Lonchura striata: one gene and its partners. The protein of the gene in region 1 purifies or fractionates together with the protein of each later gene. This does not show direct contact. Links are inferred from orthologs where the notes say so. Each region holds a gene or a part of one and is shown on either strand. Other genes may lie near its edges.

What was found. The genes of interacting proteins can lie anywhere in the genome.
Region 2: the proteins of JUN (region 1) and JDP2 purify together in Homo sapiens (co-immunoprecipitation; 3 studies listed by BioGRID and IntAct, with this or other methods). This does not show direct contact. The link is inferred for Lonchura striata from reciprocal best matches to the Homo sapiens genes JUN and JDP2.
Region 3: the proteins of JUN (region 1) and COP1 purify together in Homo sapiens (affinity purification with western blotting; 9 studies listed by BioGRID and IntAct, counting the BioPlex papers as one, with this or other methods). This does not show direct contact. The link is inferred for Lonchura striata from reciprocal best matches to the Homo sapiens genes JUN and COP1.

The regions. Positions count from the first base shown.
Region 1 is NC_134611.1:7,572,629-7,579,474, reverse strand, and holds JUN (transcription factor Jun), read right to left. Parts: upstream 2,466-6,846; 5' UTR 2,124-2,465; coding exon 1,179-2,123; 3' UTR 501-1,178; downstream 1-500. UniProt on the Homo sapiens protein: Transcription factor that recognizes and binds to the AP-1 consensus motif 5'-TGA[GC]TCA-3'.
Region 2 is NC_134608.1:23,066,669-23,074,049, forward strand, and holds the start of JDP2 (jun dimerization protein 2), read right to left. Parts: upstream 3,015-7,381; 5' UTR 2,962-3,014; intron 1-2,961. UniProt on the Homo sapiens protein: Component of the AP-1 transcription factor that represses transactivation mediated by the Jun family of proteins.
Region 3 is NC_134611.1:3,320,961-3,328,687, reverse strand, and holds the start of COP1 (E3 ubiquitin-protein ligase COP1), read right to left. Parts: upstream 3,015-7,727; 5' UTR 3,009-3,014; coding exon 2,671-3,008; intron 1-2,670. UniProt on the Homo sapiens protein: E3 ubiquitin-protein ligase that mediates ubiquitination and subsequent proteasomal degradation of target proteins.

The sequences.
Region 1 (6,846 bases):
AGCATTGTCATAAATATTAACAGACAAGAATCACCTCCTACCTGAGAAAATACAGGGATAAAGGTGAATATTTTTATTTTTGAAGCCTACAGCATAGTTCTCTTAATACAGCCACCTGCCTTATCTTCTTGAGGGCATTAATTTAATAAAAAACATGTCAGATCAAGTAGCCAGTTGCTCCAGTTATGGAACAATTTTGTTCCCTGCCTTTCCATCCCTCCACAACCCTGCCTGAAGTCAGATGTCTAAACTGGGCCCCAAGAACGAGGCAGGCAGGCAGGCTGCAGCTGGGGAATCCAACTTCAGGACAGCCCCAGAGGTTGTAGGAGTTTAATGAGGACGGTCTGGCTTCTCCCTCCCCTCCTCACACCTTCTCCAGGACATGTCTGGAGTTACAGAGTAAATTCAGCATAATCCCTACCCTTCAGACTGCAGCCCAAAGGGCATTTTCCCAACTAAGGTACTAGCCAAAAATAAAAAAAAAAAGTGTGAGGGGAAAATACATTTTAATTATTTTATTTTTCTTAAATATAATAGAACCTTCTAGAATTTTTTTCCAGAAACAGAAACATTAAAAAATTATACTTTATTACAAATGGTAAACTCAGAGTGCTAAAAAAAAGCCTCTTATTTACAAACAATACTGGGCAGTGCCCAAATAAACAACATAAAAATAACTTACAAAGTCATGAAGTAGTTTATTGACATTAATCAACTTTCATAAAATAAAATAAAAAAAGATATGTACATACACAATTTACTTGAAGGCAGGCAGAACAGTTCTTTTTTTTTTTTTTGTTTATCAGCCTCCCACAAACCTCCCTCCCACTTTTTTTTTTTTTTCTTAAGGAATACTACATAAAGCAATCTACAGTTTCTATTGCAGTTTAACCTTTAATACTGAATGATCATCGAATGTTAGGTCCATGCAGGTCTTGGTCAATGTTAAACGAAGATCTGACATCTCATCCGAGCAGGAGCAGCACTTCCCGGAGCAGCGCTGCCCGCTGCGCTCCCGGCTCCAGCCCAAGGCTTTGCCAGTCTTTCCACACATGCGCTTTGCGGAGCACAGGCAGGACAGCCCCTCAGCTCTTTGCCATTAGCTTTATGCCTCTGCCACTTTGGATTTTTCCTCTTTTAGTTGTACCACAACACACAGTTCTCGCCGAAGAGTCTCTTCAAAACGTCTGCAACTGCTGTGTGAGCATGAGCTGGCACCCGCTGTTGACGTGGTTCATGACCTTCTGCTTAAGCTGTGCAACCTGTTCTCTGAGCATGTTGGCAGTGGATGCCAGCTCTGAGTTCTGGGCTTTCAAAGTTTTCACTTTTTCTTCCAACCGGGCAATCCTTTCCAACTTCCTTTTCCGGCATTTGGACGCCGCGATTCTGTTCCTCATGCGCTTTCTCTCGGCTTTGATTCTCTCCTGTGACTCCATGTCAATGGGGGACAGGGGAGGAGTTTCCCCCGGCATTTCAGGTACAGTCTGCGGCTCCTCTTTCAGAGCCTGGAGCCGGGGATGCTGCACGGGCATCTGCGGGTTTATGTGATGCTGGGGCGCGTATCCCATGCTGTTGGCGTTGTAGCTGGGCGCGGAGCTGAGCGCGTTGGGGTTGAAGTTGCTGAGGTTGGCGTACACCGGGGGCTCGCTGTGCAAACTGGTGTTGAAGCTGGTGCTGCCGGCCATGGAGGACACAGGTGCCATCCCGCTGCTGACGGGCTGGGCGGCCGAGGTGACGCTGGGCAGCGTGTTCTGGTTGTGCAGCTCCGCCAAAGCTCTCACGAAACCCTCGGCGAACCCCTCCTGCTCGTCGGTGACATTCTTGGGGCACAGGAACTGCGTCGGGGTCGGCGTGGTGGTGATCAGCCCGTTGCTGGACTGGATGATGAGCCGCTCCAGCTCGGGCGAGGCCAGTTTGAGGAGCCCCACGTCGGGCGAGGTGAGGATGTCGGCGTTCTTGTTCCTCAGGTGCGGCTTCAGGTTGCTGGAGGGGTCGGACAGGTTCAGCGTCATGTTCTGCTTCAGCACCTTGGCGTTATTGTATCCGTACCCGCCGCTCTCCGGCGGCGCGAAGCCGGCGCTCAGCGCATCCTCGTAGAAAGTAGGCTCCATCTTTGCACTCATAGAACACAGTCCGGGGAAGGGAAGCTGCCCGGCCGCCGCTCAGCTCCCCGCGGGCACCCCGACCCTCCCGGGGAAGGGGAACGCGGAGCCGAGGAAGGAGAAACGCGGAGCCTTACTGGATCGCCGCTGCCGCTGCCGCGCTGAGAGCCCGCCCGGCCTGGCGGGGCGCCTCGCCTCCCTCCTCCTCCTCTCGCCGGTGGTGCCGGGACGCCGCTCCGCCGCCACAAGTACTTTCCCTGCCCGGCTCCGCGCTATTCCCGCTCCACCGTCCCGGCGGCCGCGCTCGCTCGTTCACTCGCTCGTTCACTCGCTCGCTCCCGCCACCCCGCGCTCTGCGCCCGCTCCCGCCGTGCAGCCCTTCACTTATCAGCGGCCGCGGGCCCGCTAAAAATAGCGCATGATGTCACCCCGCGCGCTCCCCATTGGCTGCTGCCGCCCCGTCCCCGAGGGGGGGGCGGGGCCAGGGCCCGGCGCGCGGTCGCCATGGCCACCCCCCGCCCCCCCCCCACTTCAGAAGCTTCTTGAGCGCGCGGGGCCTTGTGGGATGACGTAATGGCGGGGGGGGCGCGCGCGCGGGGCAGTGTGGGCTGACGTCTTTTTGTTTTTGAACGATCCGGTTACCGCGGGCCGGCCGCCGCCGGTGCGCCGAGCCCCGTCCGTCCGTCCGTCCGTCCGTTTGTCTGTCTGTTTGTTTATCTGCCTGTTTGTTTGTTTGTTTGCGCTGCCTGCGCCGCGTTCCGGCGCTTCCCTCCCCCCGCCGCCGGTCCGGCCCTTCAGGTGGCGGCGCTCCCGGGGAGCCCCACGTGGTTTCCCCGTCCCGCCGCCCCCGCCGCTTCCAGGCAGCGCCGCGGGCGGCACCGGCGGCTCCCCCGCGCCGCCCGCCCGGCCCGGCCCGCCCGGCCCCCGGGGCCCTGCCCGCCCGGGCCCCGGGGCTCTGCCCGCCCGGGCCCCGGGGCTCCCCCGCGCCGCCCGCCCGGCCCCCGGGGCTCTGCCCCCGCGCCGCCCGGGGAGTCCCCGCTGGCCCGCCCGGCCCCGCGGGGTTTCGCTGGGGGTTCGCCTTCGCCCCCGCACCTCCGCCCGCACCCGCCCCCGGGCACGGCTCTGCCTCCACAGAGAGCCGATTCCCGGCCTCGGGAATAGCCGGGAGAACACGGAGGGGAAGTAAAACCCGACAGGAAAAAGCCGGGTTACGGATGGGTTTCTCTGAACTCGTCCTCCAAGGGGAAGGGACAGCGACGGCCTAATTTTAGACAGTGTCCCAGTATTGCTGTGGAATTGCAGGTTGGGCGGGAGGGAGAATAAGGGCTGGAGCCGGAGGATCGCGGCGGAGGAGAAAAGTCCCCGCTGGCAGCAACAGATGGGAGCTGTGCCTCGCTGCGCTGCTCCGTGCGGGCAGAGCGCTGATCACAGGGATGCGCTTGCCTTCCCTTGCCCCGCACACCCCCTTCTCTCGGCGTGCTGGGGATTTGGGATTGCTGCCACCGCTGGAGTAAAGTGCAGCAGGTATTTGAGGACAGGCAGTGACAGGACGGGGTGGCACAGGGACTGCAGGGCTGTCCTGGTGGGTTTGATTGCCAGCAGTGCAACAAGTGCTCCTCGTGCTTCCAACTCGAAGCTGTTGGCTTGCTGCTGTTCAGCTTTTTGTCAGTGCAGAACTTGATCTGTCAGCTTGAACCCCTTCACACGACATGTGAAGCTAACAAACTTAGGTTCATTTTGAAAACACCCTTTCAAATTCCCCAGTTCTATTTTTTTCCTGGATGTAATGACATAATTACCAGTTACCGTATAGAAAGGAGCAGCGAAGCAAACAGAAACATCAGCATCTATGAAAGAAAAGTGAAGGTCCAGCTCCCCTCTTGGAAGTTGTTGGGGATTTTTCCTTCTGCGTTGTTCCCACCTGACTTTGGCCACATGGCAAGCACTGGTGTTAACGGGAATGATGGAAATAATGCATGCAGTGTGTTAACAGTCTGTAGCACAAAATAAAAAAAAAACGTTTTGGACTGGATGAGGGGGCTCACTGTGTGCTGCTGGTGTCTGTACAGCCTTCACAGAGTTAGCATCTCTCTGGGCTGCAGGTAACTCAAACTTCAGCTGGGTAAACTGTTCAGCCAAACAGCACTAAGTTACTGCGCATGCATAAGAAAATCTCAGGATTTCATTAATGCAGTGAGCACTCAAATTAATTCCTTTTAATGTTTACATACAAGATAAATAGAGACCTGTGGCTGACTCTTCTGGCCTCAGAGCCAAGGGACATCAAATGAAACTGGCAGGTTCGGAACAAACCAAAGAACTGCGGTTCAGCGCTGGAACTCCCTGGCAAGGGTGGACGGAGGGATTTTAACGTGATGGATGAATTCACGGAAGAGAAATCACTTTAGGTCTGTGAATCACGGAGCATCTACACTGGCTCTGGAAATCCTAGGGCTGCAAATGACTTGTGCCCGGGGGGCATCCCTGGCTTGGGGTGGCTCCCTAGGGACCCACTCCTGGCCCCTGTCAGAGATGGGGATCTCGTGTGGCCGTCCTTGAAGTGTTACAGCCCCCGGGGATAGCCCATAAATGATTTCAGTGTCACCCCGCAGTTTTCATGTTTATAAAGGGCAAGGAAGAAAATCTGAAGAAATGTAAGACTTGAATTCGAGGTCGTTTGTTGTATGGAGTTTTTTATTTTGAAATAAATGATTTTAAATATTTCCAAATGAAGCTAAAAATGGGGGTATCTGGTGCATAGGAAGCCACACAATTAATTTGCTGTATAGACAAATACTATTAAAATTTATTCTGATTACCTTTATGTATTAGTTGGTTGTGTTGTTTTGTTTTATCTTTTGGAGTTTTCTGCTGCATGTTTCTTCTGTCCTAGAAAGCAAAATTCAAACTATGAGGAACATGGTCAGCATAGCTTAAACCACTCTATTTATTACAGATTTGTATAACCTGTAAAACTGCCTTTGGAGCTCACTGATCTGCAAGGTTTTGATTAACTTCAGTAAGGGCTGGATCAGGCGGGAGGGATTAATTTAATTTAATTTTTTTTTTCCCCTCCACCCATTTCAGCTCTGTACTTCCTTCCTCTTGCAGAGGCGGGGTTGGGGAGCAGACATTCCAGTTTGGGAGCTGGGGCCCTGTGGCTCTGGGGACACCCATTCCCGTCACTGCTGCTCACTGCAGGTTGTTCCCTGCCACAGAGAGCCAAGGTGCTTGTGAAGGTTCTGCGGAGCAGCAGAGCACTGAAATCAAAGACAGGAGCTCCTGGCTGCTCCCAGGGGATTTCCTGCCTAGCTGGGGACCTTTGGGAGGGTTTGGCTGAGATTTCAGTCCCAAAATCGGCGCTGACACACTCAGAGTGGAGCAGATCCAAAAGCAGGACCCATGGATAGTGATCCTTCATGGCCATTAGCCAAGGAGCTGGTGGCTATGCTCTGATTTATTAAACACCTATTAATTCCAGGCTTTTATTCCCCCTTTCCTGACATCCTTAAGAAAATATTCCTTTAGTAGGATGAGGGAATGCTTCCTGACCCAGGTACAAACCAGAGCCATTTACATGGCTCAATAAACTAACTTGTGGCTAGGAATTGCCAATCCCTGCCCTGTATTTCTGAGAGGCCGATGCGTTGAGCAACAGTAATGCACATTTTGATTTATAAGCTTCTCTAATCAATCAATAGAAGCTTGAGTGAGGCAATCAGATAATCTGAATAATTAAATGGCTTTTCAGGGACAAATTAAAATTTGTTGCACACACCACATCCATCTAAATTATATTTGGTGTCCAGGAATAAATGGGTTTGCTGGTTTGTTTCACTCCTGCATCTCAAATGATTTTGACTTACTTCAAAATTATTTGGGAAAAAAAAAAAAAAGGAAAGAAAAAAGGATAAATGTCAGTTTCTGATTTTTTTTTACATTGGAAAGAGTGGTCACAGAAAAAAAAAATACTTTTTCCCATATAGTTTTATTACATGTATATTAAATATTTCAATATATATTTTTCTTTAGACATGTCAGAATATTTTGCTTTTTCTTCTCCTCAGAGAAGTTTCCATAACACCTTTATTGTATAGAAAATTATTATGTAGATTTTTTGTCTTCTTTTTTTAAAAAAACAGGACTTCACACTTTCTAAATGTGATATCCTTCTTCACATCTTAAAGTGAGTAAAACTGGGAAATCCTGGATTTTTGCACACTTGCTTAAGGAGTTACTATAGACCAGTTTTCTCCAACTGGGGGAGACAAGAGTTTGAAGAGTCAGAAAGCAAAAGTATTTTTCTCTTATTTACTCCATCAAGGCACAGTAAAAGAAGGTGGGAGTGAGAGGGTACAAGGAATAGAGTTTCCTTAGGCCAAGTGGAAGTAAAATAATCATTCCCGGGTTCTGCTGGTCCCAGTCCCTCGCCGGTTCCTCGGGGCGTGTTTGCGTCCTCGGTTCAAGTGGGTCCAAGTCTGCAGCACAGCACAGGCGTGGCACAGCTGCCACCTCATCCACCCCCAGCTTCCGTGGCCTCTCCTCCTGCTCTTTGCTCCCAGCAGGACTCCTGTGGCCAGGTGGAGATCCAGGAACTGTGGCTGAAATAAAAACAAATCAATACACCTGGGGACACAGGGGAAAGGTGGGAATGGATAAGGCTGGGGGAAGAGTGGGACTCGCAGCTTGATGTGGAGGACTCTGGAATCAAAACTCTAAAAAAGCCCAGCCAGTGTTGAGTGAG
Region 2 (7,381 bases), on another chromosome or scaffold:
TTTGTGAACACCCATACATGTAACCTCCCACCCCCAGATCAGAGTGAGTGGGGGGCCACAATGCTGAACAGAAGAAGGAGGTATGAAGAACTGTTCCTCAGGAGGTGGAATTCTAAACCTACTTCATGAGTGGGAACATTCTGGCTCAGTCCTGCACATCTAGCTGGCAGGAGGAACATCAGAGTCATTGACAGGACAGAGGGCTATAAGAAGCTTTCTAAAAACAGGAATGCAAAGAGCCCTGCTGCCCTCCTTCCTCTTCTCCATCAGGGAAACTCAGAGCTTCCTACATGATGCATATAGAGCAGCCCAGAGCAGACAGTGTCTCCTTGGCAGAAATGCCATTTTGCAGCCCCTTGTCCAACTGAGTCTCACCATTAGGCCTCCACACCTGCCTGTCTAATGCTTTGACTTCTTGCCCCTTTTGTGAGAAGGGGGAGGGATACTGGTTCTCCAGTCCTCAGCTTTAGAAATAATCTCCCCTTGCCATCAGCAAAGCAGTCAGCTCACAGCCCTTCCTCCCTGAGCATTTTCCTCCATACCTTCACAGGGCAGCAAAAAACTCTAGTTTAGCTGCTCCCACCACTGCAATGCAGTGACTGACTTCCAAGCAACCTGTGACAGCAGGGTTTTGTACAGAACCTACCATAACAAGGCTCCCCTACTCTGATAGTTAATTGCAATAACTGCAAATAAATGCCACTAATTATCAAAGTATTATTAAGATTGCAATTAATTATTTGAGGTTGTACCACCCACTGGACAGCAGTATAGAGCAGGAAGGTAAAAGCTATCCTATTCGTACCTGAAGGAGCTCAAAGGGGCTTGAGAAGGAAAGAATATGGTCTGAGAAAAACCTCAGTGTCTGAACTGCAGTCCAATAACTGACTTGTTGAAGTTACCCAGGACCTTCCATAACCACATGTGGTCAGGGCTAGAATCTTCTTCAAGAAGACAATCCTGCTCCAGCACAAAGTTCTGCCCTCAGGGGTCAAGGATGGCTTCAGAGATGACAGCCCCCACACCCCCTACAAACTCCTCAAAATGATGTCTTAAATACCAGAGTCATCCACAAAGACCTCTAATCCATATAAAGACTAACTCTGGCTAGTTTGCAACAGCACTGCTCAGCTCAGAGGCCTGTATGTGCCTTCAGCTCTCCGGCTGCATGTTAAAATAGCCTGCAATGTTTGGATTGATACTCTGGACAGTCCAAGCAACTGAGAAATGCAGCCAAAGACAGATGGCATCAGGTTTGCAGTGCCCCCTCCTTGCTGCACTGGCACTGCAGGACACACACACGCTGGCAAGGGGTTCCATGCCTCACCATGGCTCTGCCTGCCTTGCTTTGGGGCCAGGCCCACTACGAACAGCCACTGCAGTGAAAAGAGCCTCTTACAGCTTCACATTCAAGTCATTGCATGCTGCCAAGTACCTGGCCCAGGCAATGCAGCTGAAGTAGCTAACACTAGCACAGGGAAGGAGACCACAGAACAGATGCTCAGTGCTCATGAGCAGTTGGACACATTGCTCAGATGGACAGGGCAGGAGGAGGCAAGAGGTCCGAGGGAGTATTTACTCTTCCTTGGCAAGGAATGTAGCACAGAGACCTTTGCATCCTGTAAGGAGGGAAATACTCAACTGTGAGGATGCAGGGAAAGCATCCATAGGAGTCTCAATGAGGAAGCAGAGGCAATAACCTACACACTAATTCAGCAGATTTTGTTAATTCCCCAGACACCAGGAGCAACCAGCTGCTGGATGACATAGTAATGGTGTGGATGGCAGCTCCTGCACCCATGCACTCATCCCCTAGATGGGTAGGTTTCGCATTTTTAAATCACTAGGACTCAGTAAGAATCCAAACTGCGAAGACTGGCATTCACAGATGCCCTCACACAAGCTTTTAGCAACAAATTCCCAGGGCAGACTCTGTCAAGAGCCTCCAGACATAGATTTTTATGCAAGTTGTCCCAAAACTAGCTAAAAAATCCTGGTCTGAGCTACAGAAGCATTTGCTTCTGCTGAGCTCTTGGAGTCCAAGCACACACACATGCACACACACTCACAGTTTGGCAGTGGTTGTGTTCCAGGGCTGGTAATGCAAGCCATGGAGCAGGCTGCCAAGACAAGCAAGAGAACGAGCCAGGCCCTGTTTCATTGGCCACCATACGCTGCATATGGCCCTGGAACCAGCCAGCACAGTGTTCTCACCCTCCTTGAAGGCATAGGAGACCCTGTGTTTTCAAATACACCTCCACAGGGCCTTCATTAAAGGAAAATGGAAACATAATGTGGCTCTTGCTCCCCTGGTATTTCTCCCTTTCCCCCAATTTGCTCTCAAACCTATTTCCCTTCCATGGAAAAAAGAAAAGTGCCTCCTGGAGCAGAGCGTGCAAAAGAATGCAACTTCCATTCAACTCCATGCCTGACTGCTAAAGCGGACTTGGGACCGCGCGGCGGGGGCACCTCCAGGGCCCCTTTCCTTCCCCGGGCCTCCCGGGCTGGAGACACGGCTGGCGACAACCAGCGCGCCGGCCCGGCCCGGAGCCGCGGGGAGCCCGCGCCCCTCACCTGCGCGCCCCGCCGGCAGGTGAAGCGAGGCGGCGGCGGCCGAAAAGCGGGGGGAGGCGGCCCCCGCCGCCCCGCAGCTCCTCAGTGCAGCAGCAGCCCCGAGCCAGGCACCCCCAGCCCCCGCGCGTCGCCGGGTGCGGGGGCAGCAGCCGGCTCCGAGCCGCCCGTGCGGCCGTGCCCGCCCCGCGGAGGGTCTCCCGGCATCGCCGCGGCGCGCCCGACCGCCCGGACAGCAGCGCCCTGCCCGCTGCCGCGGGAGACGGGATGCTCCTCCGGGCGCCCCCCACTCCAGCCCCCGTCGCCGCTGTCCGCCACCCCCGCGCCGCCGCCCGCCCCTGCCGCAGTCCCGGCCCGCTCGGCACGTCCCCCGCCCGCGCCCATACCCACCGTGCAGGGCGACCGGGCTGCCGGGGTGCCCGCGGGGCCCGGCCGCAGGGGCCGGGCGCGGGCTGCAGGCTCAGCCCCGCCGCCTCCGCCGCTGCCCCGACCCCCGGGCCCCGCCGGGTGCCGATGTCGGTGCCGGCCGCCGCCGGGGCGCCTCGGCCCGCCACCGCCCGCCGCCCCGGTGCGCGCCTCCCGCAGGCTGTGGCAGGCGGCGGGGTGGGTTGCATCAGCCCCGGTTATATAGCGGCCCCTGGGCTGCGGGGAGGGGTCGGGAATGCGGAACCGGCCGGGCTGCCAGCGCCACACGTCAGGGAGGGCGGGGGAGCGGGGCCGCGGGGCGGGGAGCGCCGCGCAGGGGTGGGACCAGCCGGGGCACCCCGACATCCCGCACCTCGGCATCCCGCACCCCATAGCCAGGCATCCCACACCTCACGGCCCGGCGCCTCCGCATCCTGCACCCCGGGACTCTGCACCCGCCACCCCTCGGCAACCCTCTGCCCTCGCAGCCGGCATCCCCGGCACGCTCCGGCACCGCTTGACCCCTCCGCACCACGGCGCCCCGGCGCCTCGCACCCCGACCGGGTGCGTGTCTTCCCCACGCTCCTGTATGCGCCCCTCCGCACACTCTCTGCTTCCCTTCACGTCGCTCTCGTCCCCCGGCACTCGCCCGGACACCGTCCCCGGCGGCCGCGGTGACACGGCCCGGTGCCGCCGCAGCCCCAGCTAGCCCAATTTGTGTAGAGCCTCCGCTCCTCAGCCCTGAGCCTGGGAAGAAGGAGGCAAAGGACCAGAGAGAGCATCCAGTGCTCCCCAGCATCAAGCACACCTTACCCAAGGCAGCAAAGGCGCAGGCACAGGGAAGGCTGCAGGGTCACTCTACAGTCCGGTGGGAGGCAAGAACCTTCTCATCTCCATCCCTCCTCCAGCCTGGCCTGCTCATGCCCCACGCAACACGGTCTAGTCTGCCTCATACAGGGCCAAGGGCTGTCAGCCCCAGCTCCACCACTCCCTTGACTGGCCTGGAGAGTAACCAGGAGGAAGCAGAGGGGTTCAAAGCACCTCTTTCCAGCTGTTTTGTTTCTTTATCATCAATGGGACATCAGGGAGGGATGTTGCCTGAAGCACAGGTACACTCGTGGTGCCCAGTGTTCTAGCACTTTGATGTCAGATGGGGATCATGGAGCAGGTGACAGACTGGGGCCTTCCTGATAACTTATTTGTGTTTTTCTTTCCTCTTTCTCTCTAACATTGGCCTCTTCCCAGCTGCATTAGCCAAACTCTTCCAGGGAAGCAAAGCTTTGCACAACTGGAGGATCATGCTGGATCTGCCATAGGTACTGGATGCTCCAGGGCTGTTGCTCCTAAGGCATTTCAGGACAGAAAGGCTCCTTTTACTTCAGAAAGACAACATTTTAAGAGTAGTTAGCAAAACCACCAGGCTGAGCAGCACTACCCAGCTAAGTGACAGTGTCACCTCTCTGACCCCCCTAGCACCACAGAGAGGCACCATCCACTCTACCTTGTTTTCCTTCCCCTGACTTGTCAGTCATTGCTTCTTTTCAGCATTGACCAATTTAATTTATTTTCACAACTGAGGATTCACATTATTCATCATCTACAAGGTTTTGCCATCAGTACTTCCAGCCTTGTCCTCTTCATCTGTGCCTCAGCAAGAGAATTCAGTTGGAAAGATCTGGGACTAAGCAAGAACATGGGATCAGAAATGCTGTGTTCTATGTAGGATATAATCTGCCCAAGCTGTCCTACAGAAATAGGTAACATATTGGCTTGGCAGGATGCTGCACATTACTAATCTTCTCATGCTGCTGTTCTTTTGTTTGTTTCACTTTCAGAGAGGCAGAATATTTTTTGTACACTTTTGCATACAACCCCAATATTTCCTTAATCTTGGCACCTCATCTTCAGGAGAAAGGAGAAATATCAGCCACAATATATTTTTTCCATATGCATTCCTTCCTGCATCAGATAGGACAGACTTTTCTATTGCCTTAAGCTGCAGGTATCCCAGTGGGGTTGACAAACAACATCTCTCTAGCAAATCAGACGAGTTGCCTTCAGGGCACGGCAGGTTCCTCACAACTACTGCATCCTGAGGGAAGGAAAGAGGACAAACCAGAGGGATTTCAGAAGAGGCTGATGTCCTGACTGAGCAAGGTCCAGTCCAGCACATAATTCCTCCTGCCACTTTTCTCTACCCTAGGGAAGGTGGGAAAGTGCCGTTTCCCCTTCTTTGCAGGGGGTTGGAAGAAAAAGAGCTCTCCCTGCTCTGTCTTCCACCATTTTTGCCTTTTTCATTTCCCTTTCACTGGTGGGCAGAGCTGGGAGATCTCATTGCAACACAGACATCTATTGCCCCAGCCTTGAGTTTTGGCCCTTTCTCTCTCAGACAGCCTCTACAGGATGGAAGCAGGGATGCAACATCTACCAGTCTGTAAAAGACCAGCACTTGCAGCACGTTTGCAGTGCACTGATTTCAAGGCTGTGCTGAAGAAGGCTGGGAAATGGGAAGGAGACCCCATCAGCCTGCTTCCCTTCCCTGCTTCCCCACTGCATGTTCTAGAGGCAGCTGAGCCTCCATTATTATAATAACACAACTTAGTCCTAACTGGGACTTACTTAACTATTGAAGAGCACATTCCAGGGGAGCAATCCTTGCCTGGGACAGTGCTTACGCACATATTTAAAGGGACAAACTTGCATCATTCTTCCTTGACTTGGGAACTCTTGTCTCACAGGGGAATTTTCCTTGCTCTTGCAGCAGCCTGTGCTTGAACTGTTCTTTTCCCAAGCTGGGTTTTGCCTCATGTAAACACCAAATATGTTTACTTTTCAGATAGTTTCATTTTGGCTAGAAAAGACGTAACAATTAATTGAGAATTCGTGGCTTCAGTGGGTAAAAGTGAACAAAAAAGTCACCTACAACAGGCTGTTTGCTGAATGATGCAGATAAACACGTCTGGCCCTACCAGGGCTGGTCAGTCTTGCCACTGCGGTGGAAACATGTGCTGACAAAGACAAATTAATCAAATGTGAATGGCAGCATTTGCAAGGGAGACAGGAGCTGTTGAGAAAAAAAGCAAAAGTTCCACTGCACAGAACATAAAAAGCTGTCAGTACCTTGCTGCTTGGCAGATGGCTTTCTCTTCAGATGAAAGGGATGATTTTCATATTTTTGTCCAAAATGAAGTGTGTGGAAGGTGAAGGCTCATGGATGTGGAAACACAGCCCCTGCAACACAACATGGGGCCAGAAAGTTATCAGGAACAGAGAGAGCTCTAGAGCAAAACAGAGCTGCACCAGCACAGAAGTTTGACTGCAGAGGAGTTGCTCTCAGTCATCAGGAAAAGTCTTTGCTTTTTACCTGCCAGCATGCATTCCTCTGCCTTCTCTACACAGATGAACTGTGCTGCTCATTGGCTGGGTTTGGGCTTAGGCCAGGACACCCAAAACAGCTCCACAACCACCCTTGTTCTTTCAGCCCTCTTCTGGATTGTCTGATGGCCCTCTCACAGCAGGAGTGTCTTCTGAAGGTGGGCAGGGGAAGCAGTCAGTACTGGTCCCTCTTGGCAGGTTTCTCTCTGAAACCTGTTACAGCCCTGTCTGAACACAACAACAACAAGAGCCACAGCATGGGCAAGGTTCCTGAGTGTCCTTGATATTTAATGTGCCCTGTCCAAATGCACTGAGCATATTCAAGATCCCAGCAATGGTAGTCCTTTTCTTGCCCTCTGCACCCTCCTGATGCCACTGTCAGTAGTGATGAGCTCACAGTTACCTCCCTGATATATTCTTGGCCAAGAAAGCAAATGATACACTAGACCTTTAACATCTCTGTTGCATGACCAAGCACAGCTCTATGTGCTTGAAATTAATCAATATTCTAAGTCTAATCAGGATGTTAGCTATTCCAGTTCACCTTTCTGCAGTCTCTCAGGGCTGACTAGCCCAACAACATGCATGTGGGACATACCTGGCAGATACAAAGCCATATTGATGTCCTACATGTAAAATTCTCTCTGGCATTACCTCTCAGTGCAAGCTGACAGGATTAATGATTGCCTCCCATCCACTGCGGCTGAGAGAGCTGTGCTGTGGCTCTGCCTAACTGGGACTCCTCAGACCTGCTGCTTGCTTGTACAATTGCTATCCAACATTTGCTATATGAAACAGTGCATTTCATCTGTTACCCATCCACTTTTGCCACCCAAATCCTCACGAATCTGCTTCCCTTTTCCCTGATCTTTGTCTTCAGTATTAGTATGCAATCCTGATGGCTAATTCTGAAAACCATTCACTGAAGGATGTGACCTAGGACTTGCACATTCAAACTCTGTAAGCCACAGTACAATACCTATCTGCAGCAAGAAAGAGTTTCGCCCTGCAGGAGAGAATGATGGTGATA
Region 3 (7,727 bases), about 4.3 Mb from region 1:
GCTAACAGCAACTTACAGCTCATGTTCAGAAAAATTAGCAAGTCTGCTCTCTGCCTCTGGCAGCATCTTGAATTATCCTTACAGAGGCAAAAAGGCATGGGGGAAACTTCTGTTTCTCACACTGAGATATGTAAAGCTTGTTTAAATCAATTATTTAAACTAACACACACCTGCCTTCCTGGACATTGCTCAAAACTTCAGAGCTGCCCAGTTTGGTTTATTTCTACATAACTATATTGCTAAATCAAATTTAAAAAAAGACAGATACTGTTATTTGAAGCTAAAACAATAATAAGTAAGAACAAGCCCTTTAGCCCACAGAAATATAGAGCAGTGAAAAACCCAAGTTAACTATAACCATTGTCTGCTCATAAAGCTTCTGACCTGTACTTCAGTATGTTCAGTGTGGCTCTTGTAAATACTAAGAAATGACATTTTGCCCTGAGTGCTACTGGGCTGATTTCTTTCCTCTCACTTGTTCAGTCAGTAGTGCTTCTCAATGAGAAGAAAACAGCTAATTACAGGTTCTCCTTGAAGCACGCACAGTACTTACCTGCAGAAAAAAAGCAAGAACCTCAGCTTTCTGAACCATCTAAAAATACATCAAGTCTACAAATTTGTTATGGGTGTAATTTCCTTTCCAAACCCCTCATTTCTTCAACAGACAACAAAATAGGACATAAGAGCTGACTGGAAAGGGCAGGGAGCCATGCTGGCAGAACTCTACTGCCAGAGTGTAAGAGTAGAGGGAACAGAGGAGAATGGGCACTTGTAGCTGTGTTCATACCCCATGACCAGAAAACCTGGGAGCAACCAAGCTCACACCAAGAGCTCCTAAATCCACCTAACATGGCCTAGAACCAGAGCAGGGCATCAGCTGATGACAGCAGTCCTCTCATCCCCATTCTGCTACTGAGCAAACTACTAACTACAGTAAAAGCAGTAATTTTTGACTGTTACTAATTCCTAACAAGAATAACTTATTGTTTTTCCTGCTACTAACTTATTAGCTTCAGGTTTTCACTTCAGTAGCAAAGGTATTTCCTATCTACTCTGCTAAACACTTTACAAGCTGTAAAGTTAAGCCTACAAGGTTTTGAGACAATACCTGTCCTCTGGGAGATGCCTCACATCCAATCCTCACCTGTAAGTCAGAGCTTACATTAGAGCTGTCAAAATAATCTTGGAAGCTGTGGCCCACTTATAATCAACTTTTTTTTACTATCTCCTTTCCATGACTGCTACAACTTGATCTTTTTCCCACTACCTCTTCCCTGTTTGCCTTTCTCAGAGGCAAACACCTAACCTTACTTCCTGTTGTCACATTTTAGCACATTCAACTACAAAAACCAAACCTACTTCTTGTGTTGGGACATTTGAAACCTGCCAGCAACAGATTCAAATTACCAACAGTTCTCAAACCATGGGCCTCAGTTTGCCAATTATGTTGAAAGGTGATTTCCAGCTATGAGCTACAGTTGAATGGCTGGGTGCTAGAAAACAACATCTGTAAAATTTTTAGACCATCACAGAAGAAATTCCCTACTAAACTGGTTGTAGGTGCCTGCCTGATACAAAACTTGTTGCAGTTTCAAACTAGACAACCTTTCCCAGCAACATGGGCAAACCAAGCCAGCTTTGCTGGAGCTATCAAACATCATGAGGGTCCTTGGAGTCCCTTCCAGAGGGGCACTTAATCCTTTGATGAATCCTCTTCCAAAGATGAGAGGGCTCCAGACCACTCGAGGTCACATTGTCCAGGAAAACAAGGCAGTTGCTGTGTTGTCAGAACGTTGTGAGGAAACATCTCGTGCTGCAGGGCCTTTCCAACAACTTGGGTGCACTCAAGGAGGAACCTGCCAGGAATAACCTGATTTTGCTTAAAAATAGAGAGGGTGGAGGCAATGCCGCTACATAGGGCCAAAACCAGACAAAATCAGTTAGGCTGGAAAAGACCTCTGAGATCATCAAGTCCAACCTACGACCCCACACCACCATGCCAACTAGTGGTGTCAACTAGCTGAGTGCTATGTCCAGTTGTTCTCTGAATAGCTCCAGGGATGGTGACTCCACCACCTCCCTGGGCAGCCCATTTCAATATATAATCAACCCTTCTAGGAAGAAATTCTTGCCAACATCCAACCTAGCACAGCTTAAGGCTGTGTCCACTTGTCCTGTTGCTAGCTATCAGAGAGTCTGATCCCCACCTGGCTGCAACATCCTGTCACAGAGTTGTAGAAAGTGACAAAGTCTCCCCCGAGTCACTTCTCCTCCTTAGGCTACCCTAGGAGATCCCCTCCCAACTAGTCCTGGTGCTCCAGCCCTTCCCCAGCTCTGCAGCCCTTTTCTGGACCTGCTCTAACAGCTCCACGTCCTTCCTGAACTGAACGGCCCAGAACTGGACACAGGACTGGAGGTGCGGCCTCACCAGAGCCCAGCACAGAGGGACAATCACTTCCCTACTCCTGCCGGCCACACTATTTCTGACAGAGGCACAAAAGAGGGAAAACCCCCGAGCCACAATCCCCGGCGGGCAGCAGCCGTCCCAGCGCCAGGAGGGGCTGCCGGCTGCTCCCTCCTCCCGCCGCTATTCCACACTCCCCAGGCTTCCCGACGGCATGGCGGCGCCCGGCCTTCCCCCGGTGACATATCGCGACATATCGCGCTCACCACACGAAGTCGTTGCTCTTGTCCTCGTAGGAGTTAATGAGCCCGTTGCAGAGCGGGGTGAGCAGCGGCCTCTTCCTGCCGCCGGCCCCCGGCGCCGCGGAGGAGCCGCCGGGCCGCGCCGGCCCCGCCGCCAGCCGCGCCAGCCCCGCGCCCGACCCCGACACGGCGGCCGCCACCAGCACGGGCCGCGCCGCCGCGCCGCCCGAGGAGGACGAGCCGGGGGCCATGGCCGCCGAGGAGGAGGAGGAGGAGGACGAGGAGGATGAGGAGGAGGAGGAAGAGGAGGCCGGTGTGGCGGCGGGCGGCACGGCGGGGTGCGGCGGGCGGCTGCCCGACATGCCGAGGCCGGGCCGGGCCGGGCGGAGCGGCCTCAGCGCATCCCCGTGCGCGCGGGGGGAAGGGGAAATAAAGTTCCTTCAGAGGAAGAAAACGGGGAGGAGGAATAAAAGAATTAAAAAAAAGAAAAATGAAAAAAAAAAAAAAATCCCGCAATTAAAAAAAAAAAATCAAAAACCCAAAACGGCGGCCCCGGCGCGGCGCTTGTTCAAGCTTTATTGACAGGCGGACAGCGCGGCCGCGCGTGCGCGGGGCGGGGCCGCGCCCCTGAGGGGCGGGGCGGGGCGGGGCCGGCCGCGCTCCCCTCACGGAGCGGCGGAGCCGTGGCCGATGGGCTTTGGGCTTTGGGCTTGGGCTTGGGCTTGGGCTTGGGCTTGGGCTTGGGCTTGGGCTTGGGCTTGGGCTTGGGCTTGGGCTTGGGCTTGGGCTTGGGTTTGGGCTTGGGCTTTGGGCTTTGGGCTTGGGCTTGGGCTTGGGCTTGGGCTTGGGCTTGGGCTTGGGTTTGGGTTTGGGCTTGGGTTTGGGCTTGGGCTTTGGGCTTGGGCTTGGGCTTGGGCTTGGGCTTTCCTACTTCAGCCGCGGGCTCGGAGTGTGGGTCAGGAGCTTCCAGCTGCGCCTCAAGTTGCTCCCCCTGACAGCACATCTAGTGGTGCACAATCCTGAGGTACAAGTCTGTTGAGGAGCGGCTGGGGGAGCTCAGCTTGGAGGAAAGGAGGTTGAGGGGGAACCTTCTCGCTCCCTGTGACCGCCTGACAAGAGGTTGTGGCCAGGTGCGGGTGGGAATCTACTCCTAGGCAAGCAGCGATAGGTTGGAAATAGTCCAAGCTGTGCCGAGGGAGGTTCAGGCTGGACATAGTGAGGAATTCTTTCACACTAAAGGGTGATTATTCATTGGAATGGGATGCCCAGGGAGACGGTGGAGTCAGTGCCCTTGGAGGTGTTTAAGACTGCACATGGTGCCATGGTCTGGTTGACAAGCTGGTGCTGGCTCATAGCTTGGGCTCGATGACCTCACGGGTCTTTTCCAGCCTAATTGAGTCTGTGATTCTGTGATCTCCCTGCACTGAGGGGAAGGCACCCTGGCCTCAGAGGGAAATGTGCCAGGCTGTCACTCAGAGACCCTCCCTGGGCCCCCAGCACCACAAAGAGATCCTGTGAAGGGCAGGGCTGCTCTGTCTCTCACAGGATGTTCTTCACCTTAGTTAGGTACCCCAAAGGGCAGCTCTAAGTATGCTGAGCTTTATCCCATGCCATCCAGCCCCACACAAAGAAATGGATCCATGGACCAAGGCCAATTGTGTGAGGTTCAACAGGTGCCTAGTCTGCACTTGGGTGACAAGAATCCTAGGCAGTGTAACAGACTGGAGGAGGAGTGGCCAAGTGGAGGAGAACCTGAGGGTGCTGGTCAGCAGCAACCTCACCTCAACTGCTATGTCCAGTTCTGGGCCTCTCACTTCAAGAAAGACTTTGAGGGTCTGGAGTGGCTCCAGAGAAGGACAACAGTGGCAACAGAGAAGGGGCTGGAGAGCAAGTCCTCTGAGTAGCAGCTCTGGGGGCTCATGCTGAAGAAGAGGAGGCTCAGAGGGGACTTTATTAAACTCCCTGATAGGAAGGTGTAGCCAGGTAGGGGTCAAGCTCTGCTGTCAGGTAACAAGTGACAGGAGAAGAGGAAAATGGCCTCAACCTGGTCAGAGGAGGTTCAGGTTGAACATCAGGAAGAATTTCTCAATGAAAGAGGTTGTTAAGCATTAGAACAGGGAGGTAGTGAAGTCCCCATCTCTGGAGCTGTTCATGAAAAGATTGGATATGGCACTCAGTGCTCTAGTCTGGGTGACAAGGTGGTGATCAGTCACAGATTGGACTAGATGATCTTGGAGGTATTTTCCAACCTAAATGTTTCTGTGATTCTGTGACAGATGTCTGGTGGTGAGTGAACAGCTTTTCCCAGGTTTGAGGCAGCTTTCTTCTGCCCGGGTGGGTGGGAATCCCAATGGTGAGGACCATAGCCTGTTGGGTTCCTGTTTCCCAACAGCAGGCCTGAGTTTTATACAGCAAGGGCAGACCAGTTTCTGCACAAGTTAATTAGAAAAGTGTTGATAAAGGATGCCCCAAAGATGTTTTGGGTGTTATGAGAAATGTTGTCCCCAGATCCAGCCTTTTACATGCCAAACTGAAAAGTTCATGAAACACAGCACTTGTCAACTCCTTGGCTCAGCCAGAAGTCCTGTGGGGAGATAGCTGCTGTTCCCTTTAATTTCTCTTTCAACAGCCTTTGGAAACATATTGCCTCCTTTGCATTGAGCAACTGTATTGTCCACAGTCAGCTTTACTTGTCTGGAGTGGAGGAGGCAGCTGGTGAAACACTAGGGCATTCCCTGAGGAGGGTAATCCTAAACCCAGGTATGGGAAAACGCCCAAAAAGATCAGCTGCAGCACTCCTCCCAGCAGGGACAGCAGAGTGAGCCGTAAAACCAGTATGGGAGCTGGTAAAACTGGTCTGAGAGAGAGAAAAAGGTGCTTCAGGTAGGCAGTATTGGTCAGGAGACCTCCCAGGCTGTCAGGGATGCTGGATGACAAATGTCCCAAAGGCAGAAGGGCAAAACACAGCTCTGGATTTACCCTGCAGGTGCAGCTGGAGGGGTAGAGCTGCGGAGTGCTCCTCCTGACCTCCCCTCTCAGAGGTGCTGGAATACTACTGGGTATTTGACTCTGTATGTTTACCCCTGATGTTAGGAAAAATCACCAAGGCAGTCAGCAAAACCCAGAATGTCTCTGAGGAATTCAATTCAAGCCCGGAAATTCAAAGTTAGAGTCCCTGAGAGATCCAGGTCAGCAGTCTCACCTTTACAAGGCGACATCTGCTATTAGAGTCACTCCCATGATTTAACTCTTTGTTGCTGTTATTAAAAACGTTTTTTAATATAGCTCTGGGGACTCTTTTTGGTATTTTCTTTTGGGTTTGTGGTTTTTTTAAAGCCATTGGGTTCCCCTGCTTTCTGTAAATAGCTTTCCGACTCACAGATCTCAAGACTAGCTCCATAAAGTCATTGAAGTGTAGTGTTTCCCCTTGTTTTCAGTGGAAGCAAAAGAGAATTGCTGTTATTTAGACCTTTCTTTCAGCCTGGCTGTTAGTGTCTGTGTGTGCATCTTATTTTCTATTGCTAAGAGAAAGGGAAGTCTCATTTCCTTCTCTTCCAGAAGGATCAAAAACTTTATAGATGAGTGCCTACAATGGACTTTCAGAAGTAGTAAGCAGTAGTATTGGCAATAGCACAATCCCATGCTTCACACTGAAATACTGACTGACCCTTGAAAAGTCTTGCTGATGCCATTACTGACTGCTCCAGAGAGAAAAAGATGACACAGGCAAAAGCTGTTAGAGAACAAATGTGTGAGCACTTATGCCGATACATAACTGGCCTTCACAACATCACCTACACCCACAGCCCTGGCAATGAGTGTGACTACCAGCACTTCAATACCTACGGAAGATCTCCCTGGTTCCTGAGCTTCAGGACACCATTATGAGCTCTTGGAGACCCTCTGAGTGAATATCTTCTTTTCACTGCCCAGGTGCATTGGGAGCAGCCTCTGGCTCTGGAGACACTTCTTTCCTGGGGTTACCTTGCATTACCAGTTCCACAGTCCATGTATGCAGCCAAAGGGAAGGTTAGGTGCTGCTTACTGGAGATACCTTTGTGTTATATCAGGAAAAAGGACATGGAAAAAAGTCTTCCAGCTCCAGTGCACTGCAGCTGGAACAGTGATTTGTCAATTATCTTCTAGTTCCTGTTAGCACAAGATGAGCTCTAAGAATTGGTTTGATTTAGTCCAGGTATCAACAACACTGTGATTACTATCAGTGGCGAGGGTACAAGAGTGAAAGAGGATAGATCAGCTGAGAGGTTTCTGTGCCTCCTCCAGCCAGCAGTGTGCCTTTGCACTGCCTGCAGGCCAGAACCCTGCACTGGAGCACAACTCATGATGGGCTCAGGACAGAGGGGAAAGTCTTGGTGTGGGGACACCTGCGCCCTCATGTAGCACACTCCTCATAGGTCCTGCTTCAGAGGATTGCCTCTATTTCCCAACTTAGTCTTAGTGGAGATATGTCTGCCTGCTTTCAGAGTTGTGTGGATCAAGTACAGAAAGCAAACATCACGTATTCCCGACTGGCCTGAAACTTAGGCTGCAAACAAATCTGTTTCTTTGGGATAAGTTGTCTCCAGCTGTACTCCTTAGTGGGTATTTTACGCAAAGAAACTGGTATTTCTGACAGATGTACATTTTGTAAGACTGACTGGAGGAATCTGCTCTAACTTATCTGTGTTTTTAGCCTCTGAAGCCAGTTGCTGACAACATCCCAGCAAAGTAGCAGTTCTCATCTTGTGCAAAGAGAGAAGACACCCTACCCATGGCATTAAAGGAAGGAGAATCCAAGTACTATCTATAGATGAATGAACTTTAGTAGCAGTGTAAGGTTCTGCTCTTTTGGGTACATAAACCCTACTTAACACTCGAGTCTGTGCCATTTGCAGCTGCAGCTCCATTTACTTGTGCAACAAGCAGCTGCAGCCATGGAGTCCAGCCACGGAATCATTAAGGATACTCTGCATAAGTCATCTTGCAGGGAGACTGAGACTTCTTCCACACGAAGTGATCCATGGGCTGCGTGTCTCAGGGAAGTGACAGTCACCTCCCAGGCGCCAGGCTCCGGATTGTTG